Regions from separate parts of the Mus musculus genome. Here all the other regions are reported to be linked to region 1. The links are microRNA targets in miRTarBase. Many come from high-throughput screens and were not tested one by one. Region 1 holds a microRNA gene; each other region holds the end of a gene's coding sequence.
The links. Region 1 holds the annotated microRNA mmu-miR-324-3p (CCACUGCCCCAGGUGCUGCU, at 3,665-3,684, shown strand). A microRNA usually pairs through its seed, bases 2 to 8, with sites in the 3' UTR of a target mRNA and lowers its output. Matches are read on the target gene's strand: a 7mer-m8 pairs with bases 2 to 8, a 7mer-A1 pairs with bases 2 to 7 and ends in A, and an 8mer does both.

Region 1 (5,994 bases):
TCGGGGACCTCAGTGGTGGCTGTGAGAGTTGTAAGTCAGCAGGTCTGGCTGTAGGAGCTCAGGCTGATGTGTGCCCCGGTACTGCTGAGTAGTACTGCTGAGTAAGCGAGGTACCTGAGCTGCATCCCCAAGGGAAAGAGTGCTGCACGGGGCTCACAAAAGCATTTTGGGGCTATTGGTGAGAGTCCTGGCTGTTTCTCTGCCAGAGCAGCAGAGTTTCCTGTTGTAAGCCATCATGGTCTCTGGCTTTTGTCTCGTGGGGAGCTCTGGGGAAATGGCTCAGGTTTCTCTGTTCTCAGGAATCCTGGCCTCCTAAAGCAGGGACCTCTCTTCCATTTTTTTCCAGACCTAGTTAACCTCTCTCTGAATGACAATGACGGTTCCAGTGGGGCTTCAGACCAGGATACCCTGGCACCTCTGCCTGGAGCTACTCCCTGGCCCCTGCTGCCCACCTTCTCCTACCAGTATCCAGCGCCACACCCCTACAGCCCCCAGCCTCCACCCTACCACGAGCTTTCTTCGTACACCTATGGTGGAGGCAGTGCCAGCAGCCAGCACAGTGAGGGTAAGTGACCCACTCCCACGTACCAGTACAGCCAGAGAAAGTGGGCACAAGTAGAGCGGATTCGGGGAGGAGAGGCAAGAGCAGGGACTGGGATCCTGAGGACTCTGGGCTGAGCTTCATTTTCCTCGTCACCTCTGCCCTCCAACAGGGAGCCGGAGCAGCGGGTCGACAAGAAGCGATGGGGGGGCTGGGCGCACAGGCAGGCCTGAGGAACGGGCCCCTGAGTCCAAGTCCGGCAGTGGCAGTGAGTCAGAACTCTCCAGCCGGGGAGGCAGCCTTCGGCGGGGTGGGGAGCCTGGTGGGACTGGTGATGGCGGCCCTCCTCCATCCAGGGGCTCGACAGGCGCTCCTCCTAATCTCCGAGCTCTTCCCGGGCTCCATCCCTATGGAGCCCCATCTGGCATGGCTCTCCCCTATAACCCCATGATGGTAGTTATGATGCCTCCACCCCCACCCCCTGTCTCCACAGCAGTGCAGCCCCCTGGTGCCCCTCCAGTCAGAGACCTGGGCTCCGTGCCCCCAGAACTGACAGCTAGCCGTCAGAGCTTCCACATGGCCATGGGCAACCCCAGTGAGTTTTTTGTGGATGTTATGTAGGGACCCATCTTGAGGCCACATTGGGTCTGTGCCCTTGGCCTGGCAAGTTTCAGCCTGGTGCCCTTCATAGTGCCTGGGCTCAGCCTGGCGGCTGGTGCCTACCAAAACGTTTTTGCCACTGTGACTCTCACCAGCAGTGCCTGGTCCTTCCCCCTCTTCCTCGGGGGTAGATGGGGACCTTTGGTTATTTTTAGCTTTATTTTTTATAAGCTTTTTGGGGGGTTAAAATAGACTTTCTTATATTTGGGGGAGTATTTTTTTAAATAGACAGTTCCTCTTTTATATGGAGAATCCCTTCTAACCCCAGAATATGACCGCCACCTCCAGGTGCCTAGTCAGCTCTCATGTTGAGGGTGGGTGGTGGTCAGTGGTACCCTGGGAAGAAGAAGGTGTGGGCTGGGTACCCCAGACAGCAGTCCAAGGAGGCTGGTGGTGTGTTGGGGACTGTGTAGCTGCCTTTGTTACTCTATTTATTTTAGTCACTTGTACAAAACACCAAATAAAGCAAATAGAGGCCAACTCCCCAAGCCTCTGGCTCCTTTCTTTGCGAGGCAGGCAGTGGAGAGGAGGGAGCAGTGACATTCACGGCAGACAGTGACTTGGTAGAAAATTTATTGTTAAGGCAATAAGTACTCCATCACCCCCATAAAGGGTTTTGGCATCAGAGAAGGCACATGACCTTGCCAGGGCCTGATTGGGAGTCTCAGATTCCCAGGGGGTTACCGGTGACCAGGCCACCATTCTCCACCATGGCCTTGGAGATGCTTCTGAAGTTCCGGAAGAGCTCCTGATGCTGAGGGCTGGACTGCAGACTGGCCATGTTTTCTCGGATCCGAGTTGCAGCCTGGGGAGAGGGAAGGGGAGGGACGGTCAGGCCGTCCTGTACTGGGGAGCTCCAAGGCCCACCTGTACTGGGGAGCTCCAAGGCTCACCTCAATGCACCAGCTATCACAGAGCATTTTCTCATGCTGTGCCGTCGGGTAGCCCTCACTCAGGGACCTTGAGGCTCTGTGAGGAAACAGAGGTTAAAATGATCCTGAGTGCTGGTGTTGGCCCAGCTCCTCTGTGGCTCTAGCCTGCCAAGCGTCCCTCGCTGCCGCCTTACCTGGACAGAACCACCACCATGGCATAGAGGTCAATGGCGCCGTCCGCCAGTCGCTGCAGCAGGAACTGCTCGTCTGTCAGGTAGATGAGGGTGGGGCTGTTAGTCGGAGGGAGGGAATCAGGGAGGGAAGGGGGTTGCAGAGCTCACTCACTGACAATCCCTTTCTTGTGTTTCACCAGCTTGGCCTCCACCACGGTGGCAAATTGATCCAGAGCCTGCACTGCCTGAAGAGACAAGAGTCACAGACAGAGCTCAGGAGAGGAAGGCAGCGCACAGCCACCGCAGGCTCTGCTTTAAGGCTCACTCACCAGTTCACCACTGCGACTTAACTCTGGGTGGACAATCCCTGACAGACTCAAACCACTGCCGATTCCTGTCCTCCTGAGAGGAGATGGAAGAGTGACTGGTCAGTTGCGGCCTCCCATCTTGTTTGACCCTGACTCTGACCCTGGCCCCGGCCCATGAGGTACCGTCTCAGCTGTTTGCCTGCTTCTCCCATCAGGAGGCCAACGTTTCCAAAAGGATTCTTCAGGGCATTGCCCAGCCCAGTGAGTTCCTTTCCTTTGTCCTGTGGAGAGAAGGGGGACGGCGACAGTGAGGACTCAGTGTCCTCCCCAGCTGCTCTCTCTCATCCTCCTTCCTCTTACCATACAGCCTTGCAGAGCCACAAACAGTCGAAGAATGTCATTTGCCCCTTCAAAGATCCGGAAGATTCGAATATCTCGGAGCACACGCTCCACCCCTGGTTCCTGGCACGCAGGAAGACACAGAAACCTCTGTTGAGATGTGCCTGTCCACTCTGAACAGATGCCCCCCCCTGCCGAGGAATACTCTGTACCTTCATGAAGCCCATGCCCCCCATTATTTGGATGCACTCATCTGCCACTTTCCAGGCCGCCTCCTGAGGACAGAGAACCAGATGAGTTGGATTTTTGAGCTGAGGTCCTAATCTGGACTCCGCCCTCCCATCACACCTGGGTCCTCACCGAGCAAAAGATTTTGCTGATGGCGGCTTCTATCTGGAAGTCTTTGAATCCCTGGTCCATGTTGGCACTCAGCATGTAAGCCATGGACTAAGGGAGCATGGTCGGGACATGGGGAAGACAACAGGGAAGGGCTGCATCAGACAGAATGGCTAATGCTCAGACCTTCAAGACCAGTGCTGATCTACTCCTCCAACCCTTGAATTCACTTTAGCCTCCTGGTCAGGTCAAATATGTCCAATATGTGACCCTCTGGTATATCAGGGGCTTCGAGGCTTCCGACTTTGTAAAGGGGTGGGTTAAAAGTCGTGTTTGGTGCATCTGGGCAGCATTTAGCAGAGCAGCACCACCCTCCAGAAGAGAACTGACTATGCCTCCTCGCATCCCCTAGGGCATTGGTGTAAAGCTGGAGACCCACTGCCCCAGGTGCTGCTGGGGGTTGTAGTCTGACCCAACTGTGAAGAAAGCCATAGGGCTCCAGGGAAGGGGCCCAGGAGGCCCTTACCTCAGTCACATACTGCAGAATAGCCATCCGAGCCAGCTTTTCCTGGATCACCCCAAAGTTGTGAATTTTGTCCCCAAACTGGGTACGATTAGTAGCATGATCAACCTGCAAGAGGGCGCATGTTACCCCACTGTGGTTCTTCAGTTTCCACCTGGACGGGCTGGAGGCCTAACTGTGCCGATGGTCGAGTGTGCATGTGTGTGTGTCGGCGCTCTGAGGCAGTCAGGGACATGTGCTAGCTAGGGACTGGGCTGGGACTCACCGCCTTGGCAATGAGGGATTTCATGGTGCCTGCGAGGGTTGCAGCCATCCCGAATCTTCCGTTGTTGAGGATGTTGACAGCAACCTTGAAGCCATCTCCCACCTCTCCTAGCACATTCTCTGATGGCACCTTCACTCCATCAAAGTACACCTCTGACGTGTTAGATGCTTTGATGCCCATCTTCTTTTCAGGGAGCCCACTGAAAAGGCAGGGCAGGAAAGTTGAGGTATGAACAGGTTGCTGTGGGGGAAAACGGCCTTTTCGGGTCTCATGATCAGGGGAGAACTCCCCAGACTATAAAAAGGATACAGGGCACTGCCTATGTGCCCCAGGGGCTACGGATATCTAGCTATGGCCTGTTAGCCTGTGTTCCCCCAGTGGAAACAAAACTGCTCACCTCCTGTGGGTGCCTCTTGTACAGAGATAGCCCCAGCGTGGCCTGTATTGACTATTTGCTCTTGAGAGCCCAGTGCTGTCCCCATCCTTGATTCTGTTTTGCCCCATACTCACTGGGTAACCCCTCCGAAGCTCCTTTCCACTACAAAAGCTGTGATCTTCTCTTTCACGGCCCCCGTGGCTGCATCTTTAATTGGCGTCTTGGCAAAGACAGTGAAAATGTCAGCCAGGCCCCCATTACTGTGGAAGAGTGAGGTGGTTAGTATAGGGTTTAGAGCAGCAGGGTCAGGCCACTGGGCTGAAGGGTAGAAGAGAAACGGAAGATTGCCTGATCCAGATCTTGCTCCCATTGAGAGTGTAATATTTTCCACAGGGGCTGGGTATGGCTGAGCTTCGGATGGAGGCTACATCGGATCCACTCGAGGGCTCTGTTAGGCAGAAAGCAGCCAAAGCCTGCCCTGTGGGGGAGAGAACGGGCTCACTGGGGATCCTGACCACCAGAGTTGCACCCCCTCATCCCCAGGCAGTTCCTTGTAACACCGTGAGCAGTGTCACACTCCTTACCCCTGGGTCTCTTAAGGTTGCCTTACCAGATGCCACTCTGGGAAGGTATTTTTCTCTCTGGGCCTTTGTGCCATAGAGCAAGATGCCTTTGAAACCGATGCTCTGATGAGCTCCCAGGGTAACGCTAACACCAAGGTCATGCATGCCCACAATCTCTGCCAAGCGAGCATACTGGAGGGAAAGGAGGCATCTGGGATTGTAGCTGGCTGCACTGAACTTGTCCTCAACAAGAATGGGCAGCAGGGCAGACCTGGCCTGGGGCTTGGAGCATCTCTACTCTGAGCATGGGGAGTGGAGTGGGTTTGGACAGGGCACAGGGAGGCTGGCCATGGGGCTCCCAGGTAGGCTGCTTCTCTAGCATGAAACCCTGGAGTCTTTCCTAAGGAGACAGGAGCAGGAACATCAAAGGGCTTAGATAATCCCCCCCCCCCCTTTTGAGGCAGTTTCATTTTGTAGCTCCAGCTAGCCTGAAACTTTGTGGGTTTCCCTGACTGTCCTGAAACTCCCTCTGTAGACCATGCTGGCCTTGAACTCGAGATCCGCCCGCCTCTGCCTCCATCCTCCATGCTGGGATTAAAGATGAGTGCCACTGTGCCCAGCTGCCCTTGGTCTTGATGGGAAGGTTGCCTGCTGTGTTGCCTCACACAGTCCCCAAAGACCTGGGAACCACAGTTAGGTCCACGGTCCTAGTGGGCTGCACACAGATCATGTTTCAGGGGAAAATGTGTGAGAAAAAGGGCAGGCAGGTAGACACTACTCTGGCTACTTGCTTGGCCCTAGTGGTGAGTCTACCAAAACTGGAGCACTGTGGAATGTTAACCAGGGGGATCCTCTCACCTGGGTATTAGAGAGGCCCAAACCACCCAGCTCGCTGGGTACTTGCAGGCCAAATGCCCCCAGTTCCTTGAGTCCCTGCAAAGTGTCGTCCTCCACCTTCTCCAAGGCGTCGTTCTTGGCAGGGTCATTCACTTCCTGAGCAAGGAATAGGAAGAATCTCATATTCAGAGGCTCCTTTAA
Region 2 (5,994 bases), not on the chromosome of region 1:
ATTGCTCTGGTGAACCTGTCTTTAAGGTTCTTTAAAGCCAGTGCTGCCCACTGGCTTCAGACTAGATGCACAGCACAGAGTGGGACCCTGTTGGAGGCTACGATGAGGGACTTTTAAATAGTGAGTCATGCCTCTGCCTAGATAATAAAATAAAATGCACCGTGGGCTTGCCGTTTGGGTTGTGCACTTCTAACACCTATTTTGGAAATGACAATTTCCTTAAAAGAAATTGGTGAAACCAGACTTTCTAAAAAGCACCTCCAGAACCTAAGGACTCTCAGAGAAGCCTGTGGACTTAGTACAGCCTGGTACCCACAGGCAGAATAGTCTCCACTTTGGCCCCCAACAGAGCTGGGAGGATATGAACGGCATTAGTTTGGGCCAATCAACTGGCTGGGAAATTGTCCTCTGGGAAATACCAGAGGACAGGCATTCTAGGCTGGGCTCCTTACCCACTGCACATCCTGCCCTGACCCAGCCTCCTACTCCTGTTTCAGATTCAAGGTATTTGCAGACTATGAAGCCTACATCCAATGCCAGGCCCAGGTGGACCGTCTATACCGGGTAAGGCTTGTGGGCCTAGATGTGTTTGGCTAGGTCTGTGTGGATCTGTTTGGGGGTTAGACCACTTCTCAACCCATGGTTGAGACCAGAGGGGTGGGCTGCTCTGATATCAGTCTGTCCAGCCTGTTTCTAGGTCAGCTCTCCGGGCATTAGGTGTCATGAGGAAAACCTTTTCTGATAGTCAAAACTAGAATAAGGAACCTGAAAATATCACCCACGGGTCTGGCCCACGAGAATCAAGATCTTCCTAGAAGGCTCCTTCCATTGACGTCTGGAGCCTCCAGTCCGGGGACAGTTTTGAAGTTCTAGAGCAAGCTGTAATGAAGCTGAAGTCTTACAAGGGAGTGCTTAGTCATTTTTGGACACTGGGTCTGCCTGTGGCAGTTGCTCACCAGTTTGTGCTCTTGGCTTAATGTTGCGAGCCATGCCTTAGGAGCCTCTAGAAGACAAAACAGTAATCCTGTCTTAAGCAACCGGTCCCTTAATCCAGTGTGTCTCTTCTGGCCAAGTGAGGGCTTTTCTGTGAGCACATGGCTGCAGTCTCTTCTACCACAGGCTGCCCCAAGGCTCAGAGTTTATCTGTTAATGTCATCATGCTCTGAAGGCTTGGGCTCCTAGGATCCCTTAGCTCTGCCAAATGCTAATCAGTCTGTTTTTCCCTTCACAGAATTCCAAGGAGTGGACTAAAAAGGTGATCAGGAATATAGCCTGCTCTGGCAAGTTCTCCAGTGACCGGACCATCACTGAATACGCCCGGGAGATCTGGGGTGTGGAGCCCTCTGACCTGCAGATCCCACCCCCCAACCTCCCCAAGGACTAATTAATTATCCCACACAGTGAGAGCAGTGGCTTGCTTAGCTGACTGTGCCCACGCCAGTCTTCAGGCACTGCAAGCAGCCGCTGGTCCCTGCTATCCGAAGTGCCATGCTTCCAGGAAGGACCATGGGAATGGTTTTGAGGACCTGGATGAGGAAGAAGGCGTGGCATCCTCCTGGCTTCTTACAGAAGAACTGTTGCAGAGTTCACAGCACAGATGGGCAGAGATGGTCCCCACAGCTTCAGCCCATCATCATCCCCAGAGGCCGAGCAGGGAGGGAGTGGAGCTGAGCCCCTGAAATCCTGCACGTAGCTGAGTGAGCTTAAGCCTTTAGTTTGGGGTGTGAATAGGGATCTGTGGTAGCCAGTGTTCCTATGTTCTGCTAGTACCTGGGTCACCAGCCATAGGGTACAGCCAGCCCCAGTGTGTGGTCTTGTTGGCCTGCTGGGTAGAACCTTTGCTTCAGGCTTCATGCTCACAGCTTCCTGTCCTTTGCCCTTGACTGTACTGAGTATGTGGGTGGTTGACCCATATAGGCCATGCCTCTAGCCATCTGTGGAACCCTGTGGGTGTCAAGTAGAACCCAGAACCCCTGGAGAGGAGCACTGAAGAGAGAGAGACCTTTATCCCGTAACTGAGACCTTGGTTGAGGACTGGCAATTTTATAGAGGGTTGGTTTAGTTCTTTGCTTTTTCAACAGGAAATAACACTTCAGGAGGAACTGAAACTAGCTAAGCCTTCCTTTTTAGCAAGTAAACCTTGAACTTGGTCAGTGTGGATATTTCTGCTAGGCTGACGACTAAGCTGCTGGCCCTGCAGAGGGTCCAGTGTACACTCCACTCTGCTACAGCAGCATGGTGAGGACCCACCACAGGAGCTGTGCTCCTCAGAGGGCAGAATCTACATTAAGTGCCGCCCAAAGGAGAGTGCGTTGTCATAGAAACCACATAAAACTATCCTTCCAGAGGCTTCACCACCTTGCACTGCTCTATCTGGTTGGGGGTGGGCAGGAGAACCCCTCGCTTTCCCCACCATGGGAGCATTTGCTGGGAAGTGTCTTTTCAGGACTTAAATCACCGGAGCCACTGTGGTAGCTTGTGGGGGTGGGTGGGCAGGTTCTAGGGCTGGTCATCTGCTGCCCTGTGCATGAGGTCCCCTGAAGCCGCAATACATGACCACCCTTCTACTACTTGCTATTACCTCCTTGTATGAGAAATGGATTAAACTTCTATGCCTATGGTTGGTCACTGTGGTATCTGCATTTCCACCATGACATACAGTTTCAGGTAACTCCCTCGAGAGGCTAGAGGATATAAGCCTGGATAGTCACCCTGTGGAATAGGCTGCAGTTGTCCCTTTGTAGCCAGGCGCAAGTTGCTGGCACAGACCAGTTTATACAAGGACCCTGATGGTGGGTACCACGGGCTGGGTTCAGTAAAGCTAAATCCCTGGCCTAGAGTGAGGCAGGGAAGGCCTGTTTCCCGTGTCGTGAGGATCACTTAGGGAGCCGGCGCTATGATACTTTGCTGTGGGTGAGCATGAGTTCCAGACATGGGTCCTTTAACTAGCCCACGGCTGCTCCTCATGTCAGGTCTTGCTACGCCTTGTGCTCTAACTTCTCAGCCCTGCTTAGTCTGCAGGTGGACAGCTTTAGGTCAGGCTGCTTTGACAAAAGGCCAAACACACTTGGACCAAGACACTGGTGAAATGAGTCTGGCCGGTTCCCAGGTCCTGGTTATACGGCTCATATCCTCTGGAAGATCAGTGCTTCTGTGTTGGCCATGCCAATGTTCCTGCGTAGCGTGGTCATGTGGGCTCTTTGTCTAGGCCTGCCTTTTAGGAGTAGGTGCCTCCGTTCAGAGCAGAACCCAGTGCCTGAAGAGTTGGGGGCAGATCTTTGACTTCTGTGGGGATTGTGTCTGGGGCAGGGGTCAGGAACAGAGCTGTGAGGGGTAGCAAAGGAAGAAACTCTGATTCCTGCTTTGTAGAGAAAACAATAAATAGACCACCACCGAGATTTTATTCTTAAATAAATGCTCAGTCTACGGCCAGGTTAGGTGACAGACAGGTGGGCAGAATGGAAGAAGTGCAGATCCAGGTGCCCCTTACTGTGGGTAATCAGATGCCAGGAGAGGCAGGGACAGCTGAGGAAGGCAAGCAGGTAAATGAGCTGTAGGAGACAAACTGAACCACTTGGAGTCTGTTCTGTAAACGCTAGGAAGGGCAGAAAGAACCATTTTCCTGAATCTTAAGCAATGGTGCCAGAGAGCCTGGAGTGGTCCTGAGCTCCTGAGCCCTTCCCAGGCTCCCTATGCCCAGCATATGGGGTCCACCTGCTGTCTATAAGCCTTCCCAAAAAGAGCTCAGATACAGTGGTCACCAGAGGGCTGGGGGGGCCACCTGCCTGCCACCGGGCTTTCCTCACAGGTCCATCAGGAGCCTCTGCCCGCTGTGTCTGAGTCCTCTTTCTAGGTGTGCACTGGGCTCCTGAGCACCACAGGTGGTGGCACTCTGGGCTTCGGGGTGCCAGGCTGCTGTCCAGGGGAGAAGGAAGGAAGGTGGGTCTTCATGCTCCTTCATGGGCCAGTCTCAGTGCTGGCGTTCCGGTTCCGACTTCCCTAGGAATTCCCTAGACCAGAGAAGGGTAAGCCTAAGTGAAACTGTGTTTGGACCTAAGAGCACACTCCCACAGTCCTCAAGTGGCTGCCTTAGGTGGTAGAGGCAGCAAAGAATCTAGGGCTCCGGGCCACCTGACAAGAAGGCCCTCGGAGTGAGGCAGGAAGAACACTGCAGCTCCCAGGTCAAATCCCAGGCAAGGCTGGGAATGGGGAGGGGAAAGATGTCAATTCTAAACAGAACTTATTCAGCTCCCTGCCCCAAATAGCAGCCTTTACTGTAATGTAGCTTTGCTTCTGGAATTTCTAAGGATCTAGGGTCTGGACTACACAGGATATTGCTCTTTGGGAGATAATTTAAGCAACCAGTTTTAGTCACAGGTTGGGAATAACTGGCCCTTAGCCCACTTCTCAAGCCTACCAGCATGAACAGCGGACTCCTTTCAGCAGCAACAGTGCTCAACAAGTAGCCCAGTGCTCTGGGTTCATGTGCTGCACAGCAGCCCCAGTATGGTGGGCAGGGAGGGTTGGACTGCTGAGTGGTGGCGAGTGGAGCCTGGGTCATCTGACAAGGAGCTAGGTGATGCTATGGGGAAATCTATGTAGGAGCATGGAGGATGGCCACATGGGAGGCCAGTCAGAAACTGATCCTTGCTACTCCACACTCATACTTTGGTTCTGGGCTGCAGCCTACATCTTGTCCAAGAGTGACTAGTGTGTAGTAGCCAGAAACAGGGCCTCCCTTTAGGAAGCTGTATCCTGTACTCCTGTACATATGAAGCCTTCCATGTACTGGGAGTGGTGCATGTGCACTCAAAGGCCCCCAGGATGCTTGCACACTCTGCACACACATGGCAGCCTGAGTAAGGATGGTACATGTGCACACTGTTAGGTACTCCCCTATTCGTGTGCTCATGTGCGTTTGTGCGATGTGTACCGGAAGACCATATGCCCCATCTGATCATATTATCCAGAAGAAAGGAGAACAAACGTTGTAACGTCTACATGGTGTTGGTGGAAGGCCCTTGAATCACTGACCCTGCAGCACACTTCTGAGCGGCTCAAATGGCTTCAGTGACTGTCACTTGCTGCACAGCTAGGTGTGAGGCTAGCTGTCCAGAGAGGCTCAAGGGTTAGAAGAGAATGTCTCACCTCAGTATCCTTGGAAGCTCTGGGCTCTTGTAGATGTATTTATGTCTGTAGCCAAGGTCTGAGTGAAAGGGGATAAACTGGACTTTGAAGTCTCGGAAACTCCGAGATGGTGCAGCAATGTTGTATAGCTGGTGAGAGGGAGAGAGGAATCAGCCTAGAGCCCAACGGAGAACCGCCTATGACCTCTCCCCTTCAATAAAGACTGGTGCTTCCTCCAGAGAACAGCCCAAGTGCCCATAGACACTGCTTCTGTCATTACAGCCTACACAGCCAGGTCCAAGAAGCCAGAGTCTGGGAATGCTAGGCATTGCCACGTCCATAAAGTCCACCATTTATGACCCCTTTTCTGCTCTTCTACTTCCACAGTGCCCTTCCTCTGAAAACAGCTAAGGGGTAGCTCAGTTCCATGCACCAGGGGTGCGCTGCTGGGCAGTTCACACTCTCTTGGATGGCTTCATCTTTGTGTAACGTATAAAGCCTGCCCAAAGCGAGTCGTGTGCCAAGTCTGTTGATGAGGCATGCCAAGCACTTCTCTAGGCACTCCTGTGCCCAGTATGGTATTCTTTACACGCCACGCCCCCTCACCCCCCATCTAAGCCAGCTTTCCAGCAGCAAAGTCAATGCAGATTTAGTAGCAGCAAGTGCTAGGTCCCTCCCTGCAGTTTATCCACGAAGGCAAGAATATAGCCTAGATGTCTTTACATGAGTTCTGCCAACTGAGCCACAAGTGGTCCCCTCAATCCTCCCATGTCAGCCTGGGTTCTAATGCTTGTTTGTCATAGTTTCTGGTGGATAGAACAGCAGTCTGCTCTTGACCCTGACAGTAGACCTCATAGGTCGTCAAGC
Region 3 (5,994 bases), not on the chromosome of region 1:
CCTTTCTTTCTTTCTTTCTTTCTTTCTTTCTTTCTTTCTTTCTTTCTTTCTTCCCTTTTTTCTTTTTTCTCAGCACCAATACATGAGAACAGGCATGCCCTTCAACACAGCAGTTCTGCCCTAGGACTTTTCGATTAGAGAGCTTTGGGCATTAGGCATAGCGGTGTGTTCAGTGACAAAGAGAAACTTGGGTATCTGCTGGAGGACGCTGTCAGCCTACAGTAGGTCAGTGTGCTGCTGCCAGGGCAGAAAGAAGCCTCAGTGTTTGCTCACATGGGGATGGGTTCCAGTACGCTATCAAGTATGAGTGTAGGATGAGAGACGTGCACAAAAGCAATGACGTGCAGTCAGTTCACAGCCTTCTTCTTGTATCTAAGCATGCATGAGATGTTTCTTGGAGGAATTATAAAACCCAGGATTCCTAGTTTATTCTCTTATTGGTGTGATAAAGACTTTGGGCAAAAACAATTTGGAGAGGAGAGACTTTATTGCAGCTTACAGTTTATAGTCCGTCATGGAGGGAGATCAGGGCCAAAATTGAAGGCAGGAACCTGAGGAGCACTGCTTACTGGCTGGCTTTCTAGATCTTAGTAAGCTTGCTTTATTAGATAGTTCAGAACACCTGCACAGGGTTAACACCACCCACAGTGAGCTGGGACCTTCCATGTCAAGTCTAATGAAATCTAATCTAAGGTCAGTCTAAGAAAACGCCCTGCAGACTTATCTGTAGGTCAGCCTGAAGGAGGCATTTTCCCTCTACCCAGGTGACCCAGCTGACAAAGACTAAGCTTAGCAGGTGATCCATTCTGAACAGACCTGAGGAGTAGGTTAGGGGAGACTCCTTTTACCTTTCTGTTAAGCGTGAGTACAGAACACTGAAAGGGAAGGATTGGGGCCAGAGAACTGCCCCAGCAGTTAAGAACTCGTCCTGTGGCTGTGAAAGGACCCGATTAGATTCCTAGCACCCACATGGTGGTTCAGAACTACCCACAAGTGCAGTTCTAGAGAATCCAGTACTCTCTTTTGACCTTCTCAGGCACCAAGCATGCACATGGTATACATGCATACACGCAGGTAAAACACTTACACATGAAAGAAAGCGAATACTTCTGTCCCTAGAACCTACAGAGGAGGGAGAAAAAATGACTCCCCAAAAGTTGTCTTCTGACCTCCGCCTGAGTTCCTGGCACTTGATGAGCAGAAAGTGCATGTGAGCTTGGCTTCATCTCTGCTCACACTTGTCTTCCAGGTGAACCATCTGAAAAGACCTGTCAGCAGAATGGCAGACGCTCCAGGCACTAGCAATGGTGCGACTGTTTCCTCCACCAAAAGGCACAAGTCCCTGTTTCAGTGTGCAAAGTGCACCTTCGCCACAGACTCGGAACTTGAGTTCCAGAGCCACATACCTCAGCACCAGGTGGACAGCTCCACAGCCCAGTGTCTTCTCTGTGGCTTGTGCTACACATCTACCAGCTCCCTCAACCGCCACCTGTTCATAGTCCACAAAGTGAGAGACCAGGAAGAGGGGGGAGAAGACATTGTGGAGGTGAAGGTGGAAGCCCCAGACTCCGAGGCATGCTCTGGAGAGGAGGTAGCCATGGAGACGAAAGAGAATGGACTGGAAGAATGTGCCAGTGAGCCTTTGGTTACTGACCTAGGAGGTCAGCAAGGTCTGGCTCTGGATGAAGACAGTGCCCAAGACCCTCAGAATCAACCACAGGCCTCTCAGGACCAGAACAGCCATGCACTATCTCCTCAGGTGTGACCAGAGGCTTTGTAGCCATCAGTCGGGCTGTGGTACCCTCCAGCTGCTGTGCAGACCGTGGGAAATAAAGAGCTCTGTCGCAGTGTTTGTGTGGCCACTGTGCTCTGGAGCAGTGTCTATTCTGAGCTGTGGGTTCTGGATATCTCCCAGCCCCCCAAAATGTGGGGTCACCCAGAATTCTTCACAGCTCTGAATTTGCTTCTGTTATTTATGGCTTAATGCTGCTTATTGATACCCCAATTCTCATCCATGTCCTTCCAGCCCCAGGCTACTTAGGTAGTACAGCCCCAGTGCTGTGTGTCAGCTCAGTGTGCAACCCCTCAGTAGCTGTGCTCTGGGCTTCCTACCTGCAGTGTTCATCGGGAGACACCGCAGAGTTCTCCTTCCTGCCTTCAGAGCCCAAGAAGGAGGGAAATGAAGGGTGCTGGCCATTCCTCTGGGAACTCTGCCCAGCTTGGCTTGGTGAGGTCCCTTGTTCACCCTTTCCTTCCTGTCTTCTTTCTCTGATTCTTTTTCCCAGAATCATCCTGAGGACTTCACCTGTCACTCTGATCATGTCTCTGTGGGTGGGAAAAATGGCAGTACACTCCTGTTTCGACCTGAGAGAAGCACGAAGTATGGCCAAGGCAGGCAGGTGCCAAGAGCCAGATCCTCTTTGGGGCTGTGGTGGGTTTTCCTTCTGCTGCTGTCCTGCAATCCCTGACAGGTGGGGTGTGTGGCACACAGATATTGGGGTATTTGTATTTTTGTTCCTGTGCCATTAGAGCTGCTGCTGCCTCAGGAAGGCCAGCTCCTCCTCTCGGCTACACTCTTGTTGCTCAGACTATATTTCAATAAAAAAAAATCTTACCATGCAGGTAGGCTCTTGTATTCCTCTTCTGGTGAGCTAGCCCTTCCCTGCTCCACCTGAGACTCTTCCCAGACAGCCCTGACTGCCCCATCTGAAGCAAAACAGCATTTCCTGCTGCCCACGGGAGCTCTAGGTTCTGGGGCTTGTGCTTGGGAAAGCAGGAGTCCTATACATCTTGGTTCTCTGGAGAGTTCTAAAGGAGCAGGGTGGTGTGGTGGGGTGTCAGTACTGGTCAAGAGCCACCTCCAAGGACTGGCCTGGCAGCATTAGCCTTAAGGTCTATTGATATTCTCTGGACATCTTTCCATCGAAGGGTTTTCAACCCAAGAGATTCTTGGTGAGGAACGAGGAGAAGGAATTCTGTGACATTCATACAACATTCAGAGACTGCTATTGCCACAGCAAATCCAGACTTGGTAGAAATGGGATTAGATGAGACTGGGACAAGTTGTGGGAAGGTGTTCTTGGACCCAACAGGCTCGGGCTAGGTCCTGTAGCACAGGGAAGGGGTGCTGGCTGAGTTCCTAGGCTTGATCTTTCAAGGGAGGCATGAATACCAATTAGGAATCAAGTTGGATAAATATGCATGACCTTTTCACAACTGAAGACTTTTTTTTTCCTTGCTCTATCAAATGCCAAATTTTTAGTGAAAAGCTAGTGGCAGTGGGAAAAGTTAGTGCTTGCCTCGGTTCCAGAGAGGCTCTGCTGTACACACCATTTTAATGAGCATTCTTTCTGGCAAGGCCTCCACTTCTCTGCTTCCCCAGCTGACAGTGAAGGGAAGCAAGCCCTACTGAGCGGGTCCCAAGCCAGCCACTGCCCCTTTCCCAGTTCCTTCACATACCCTGCTTTCTCTTCAGATCCCGTCAGTCCTTCACCTCATGCTAATCTCCCCCATGTGGGAGATTACCCAACATTGTACCCCAGATCGTTCATGAGAGCAGGTTCTTAAGGAGGGCTTTGAGCTGTATGGCTGCATTTCTTCCCACTCAGAAACCATGGGAGCTGGAGAACAAAGAAGGTGGAGAAACTAAGGGTGGAGCCACTGTCCTCATATCAGATCCAGCCTCTTGGAATAGTAGAATAGGACCTGCTGTGGGAAACCTGTGCTGCCCTCAGCCAGTCCCTAGCACCCTCATCCTCATGGGCTCCTCTCTCAGCAGAGGTAGGAATCCTCATCCAGCTACTTCAAGACTTTCCTGAGGTCATGAGTGCGCAAGCGCTCTAGGTTCCAGGCTACCATGTGGCTAGGGGCTTCTGCACTTGTAGACACAGTGAGGTGGAGCTCATCTCACTGGATGTGGGGTTCAGTTAGGAACGGGGCCCGTTTGCTTATCCATTATGCAGTGATGATGAAGATCGCATTCCCAGCCCTCCTCAGGTCCAGCATCTTGTTTAACTCTTACCAGAGACTTTCACTTCATCATCACAAGGATCTCAGCTACCCTTCTATTTTACAGAGGCAAAAAACCAGCCTTAGGTTAAATGACAGACATATTGGGCTACCTGTGATGACGGTGCTGAGTCAAACCTGTGCTGCCTTAGTGACAGGGCTGCTCTGGCTGCAGCCAGCCTGTCAGCAGTGTGGAGCCATCCAAAGCCCACCCTTCTAGTTCCCAAAAAAGGCAGGGTGCCCCTTAATGTCAGATCCTCCAGTGCCTTGTCACCCCAAGGAGGGCCCTGCGTTTGCACATGCGGTGTCCCTGATGTCGTCTCTCACTGGGGTTTACTTTCCATATGAAGAGCCATCATTTCTGGAGCACTCTTTAGAAGAGGTTACCTAATGTCTGGGGAACACACGGTTCCCTTCGAGTCAGTATCTCCTGATTGCTCAGGACAGTGTTTTAGTACACTGTCGGTCATCCGAGGATGCTTGCTGTAACAGATACTTCCCCTGCAGCGGATGCTCTCCTGACCAAGCTAGCTTAGATCTGCTACCCTCTAGAAGCTACCCATCTGGATACCCTGAGGCTTGACAAATGACTAGTATTTACTCTCTAACTGCTTTGTCTCTGTAAAATGATATGCTGAATTTCCGTGGACTAATTGTTGTAAAGAATTTGCCTCTTATGTAAACAGTCTGGGTTTTAAAAATTTAATGGTTGTGTTGTGGCCCACCTTAGAATTCCCACATTTTGCCTTGCCCTAGGCTGAGGAACTTCTGTCCTGTATACCATTGTACATTCAACACCAGGTAATTTAAAAAACTTTTTTTGGGGGGGTTTGGAAAAATAGATACATATACATTTGACAACATAAGGCATTCAACAGTACAAATGAACATACAATAAAAAGTAAAGTTCTTGGTGGAGGTCAGCTTCCAGTGCCCTTGCCAGAGTTCCTCATTGTTATCTCTACCTTGTGTATCCTTTCAGAGCAATTCTATGCATTTATGAGTTTATAAATATGTATATTTATATATCTATTTTTAATACAAACAGTAGCATTCTATCCGTCATGTTCTGAAGCCTGCTTTTTTCCCACTTACGCAGTGTTGTAGAGGTTGGCTCAGTGTAACTCTTTAAAGGCTTCCTCCAGGTGTATGGCTGAGAGTATGAATGGGCATGAATGAACACACCGAGCACAATTTGTAATATAACCACAGAGCTCTTGGGCTGACCTGACCAAGATTAGATCTTCTACATCCTAGAATATGTCCTTTGTCGTCTCCAAGACTGCCGCTCACCTTCGTCGACACTCTGCCCACTCTGCCGCTTCAGCAGGGAGCACAGAATGACTCCCGAATAACATTTTTTTTCCAGGTCCTTGTTTAAAATGCCTTTTTATTATAAAATGACAGATCAGTAATAGAGACATGTAAAACATGTATTTACACCCCACTCTTAGCAAGGCAGCTAACAGTTTTGCATCACCTTCTAGTCCTTTGGTATATTCATAATTGAATTTATGATATAATTATAATGATATTATAATTATGGTCATAGTGGTGAATGTCCTAGGGTATTGAGCATACTAGACAAGTGCTCTATTACTGAGCTGCCTCCCGGTCTTTTGTTTTGTTTTGTTTTGTTTCCTTTTATTAAGACAAGTCTTCTTTTGTAGCCCAGGTTAGTCCTAAATCCTGCCTCGGCTTCCTGAATAATAAGGTTATATATAGGCATATACCACCACACAGACTTTCTCATTTTACTTGGCTGATCTCAGGAGCAGTGTAAGAAAATGGAGAAAGCCAATAATTAAAAATCAGAAATGCAGTCAGGTGGTAGTGACAGTGGTGGCCACGCCTTTAATCCCAACAGAGGCAAGTAGCTTTGGAGGTCAGCCTGGTCTACAGAGTTAGTTTCAAGACAACCAGGGCTACACAGAGAAACCCTGTCCTCAAAAACAAACAAACAAAAAACCCTCACAGAAATGCTGC

Region 2: the mRNA of Pygb is a reported target of mmu-miR-324-3p. The part of its 3' UTR that is shown has no 7-base or 8-base seed match.
Region 3: miRTarBase lists Zfp592 as a target of mmu-miR-324-3p. Seed matches in the 3' UTR shown: 7mer-m8 at 3,275-3,281 and 7mer-A1 at 3,959-3,965.

Annotation. Positions count from the first base shown.
Region 1 is chr11:70,008,431-70,014,424 of GRCm38, forward strand. Mir324 (microRNA 324) reads left to right here and starts at 3,613; the gene lies at 3,613-3,701. Acadvl (acyl-Coenzyme A dehydrogenase, very long chain) reads right to left here. Exons shown (of 20, transcript NM_017366.3): 6 at 5,815-5,949; 7 at 5,004-5,148; 8 at 4,742-4,871; 9 at 4,528-4,653; 10 at 4,018-4,216; 11 at 3,756-3,860; 12 at 3,254-3,340; 13 at 3,106-3,168; 14 at 2,915-3,016; 15 at 2,738-2,835; 16 at 2,576-2,648; 17 at 2,419-2,491; 18 at 2,268-2,340; 19 at 2,095-2,170; 1 more. The coding sequence ends at 1,866. Dvl2 (dishevelled segment polarity protein 2) reads left to right here. Exons shown (of 15, transcript NM_007888.4): 13 at 1-30; 14 at 347-565; 15 at 714-1,679. The coding sequence ends at 1,162.
Region 2 is chr2:150,829,131-150,835,124 of GRCm38, forward strand. It overlaps Pygb (brain glycogen phosphorylase), which reads left to right. Exons shown (of 20, transcript NM_153781.1): 19 at 498-564; 20 at 1,232-2,618. The coding sequence ends at 1,384. Abhd12 (abhydrolase domain containing 12) reads right to left here. Exons shown (of 13, transcript NM_024465.3): 12 at 5,149-5,276; 13 at 3,385-4,010. The coding sequence ends at 3,971. Among named protein-coding and RNA genes, the nearest start is that of Pygb, 45 kb to the left of the region's middle.
Region 3 is chr7:81,040,099-81,046,092 of GRCm38, forward strand. Zfp592 (zinc finger protein 592) reads left to right here. Exons shown (of 10, transcript NM_178707.4): 10 at 1,250-5,064. The coding sequence ends at 1,765. Among named protein-coding and RNA genes, the nearest start is that of Alpk3, 15 kb to the right of the region's middle.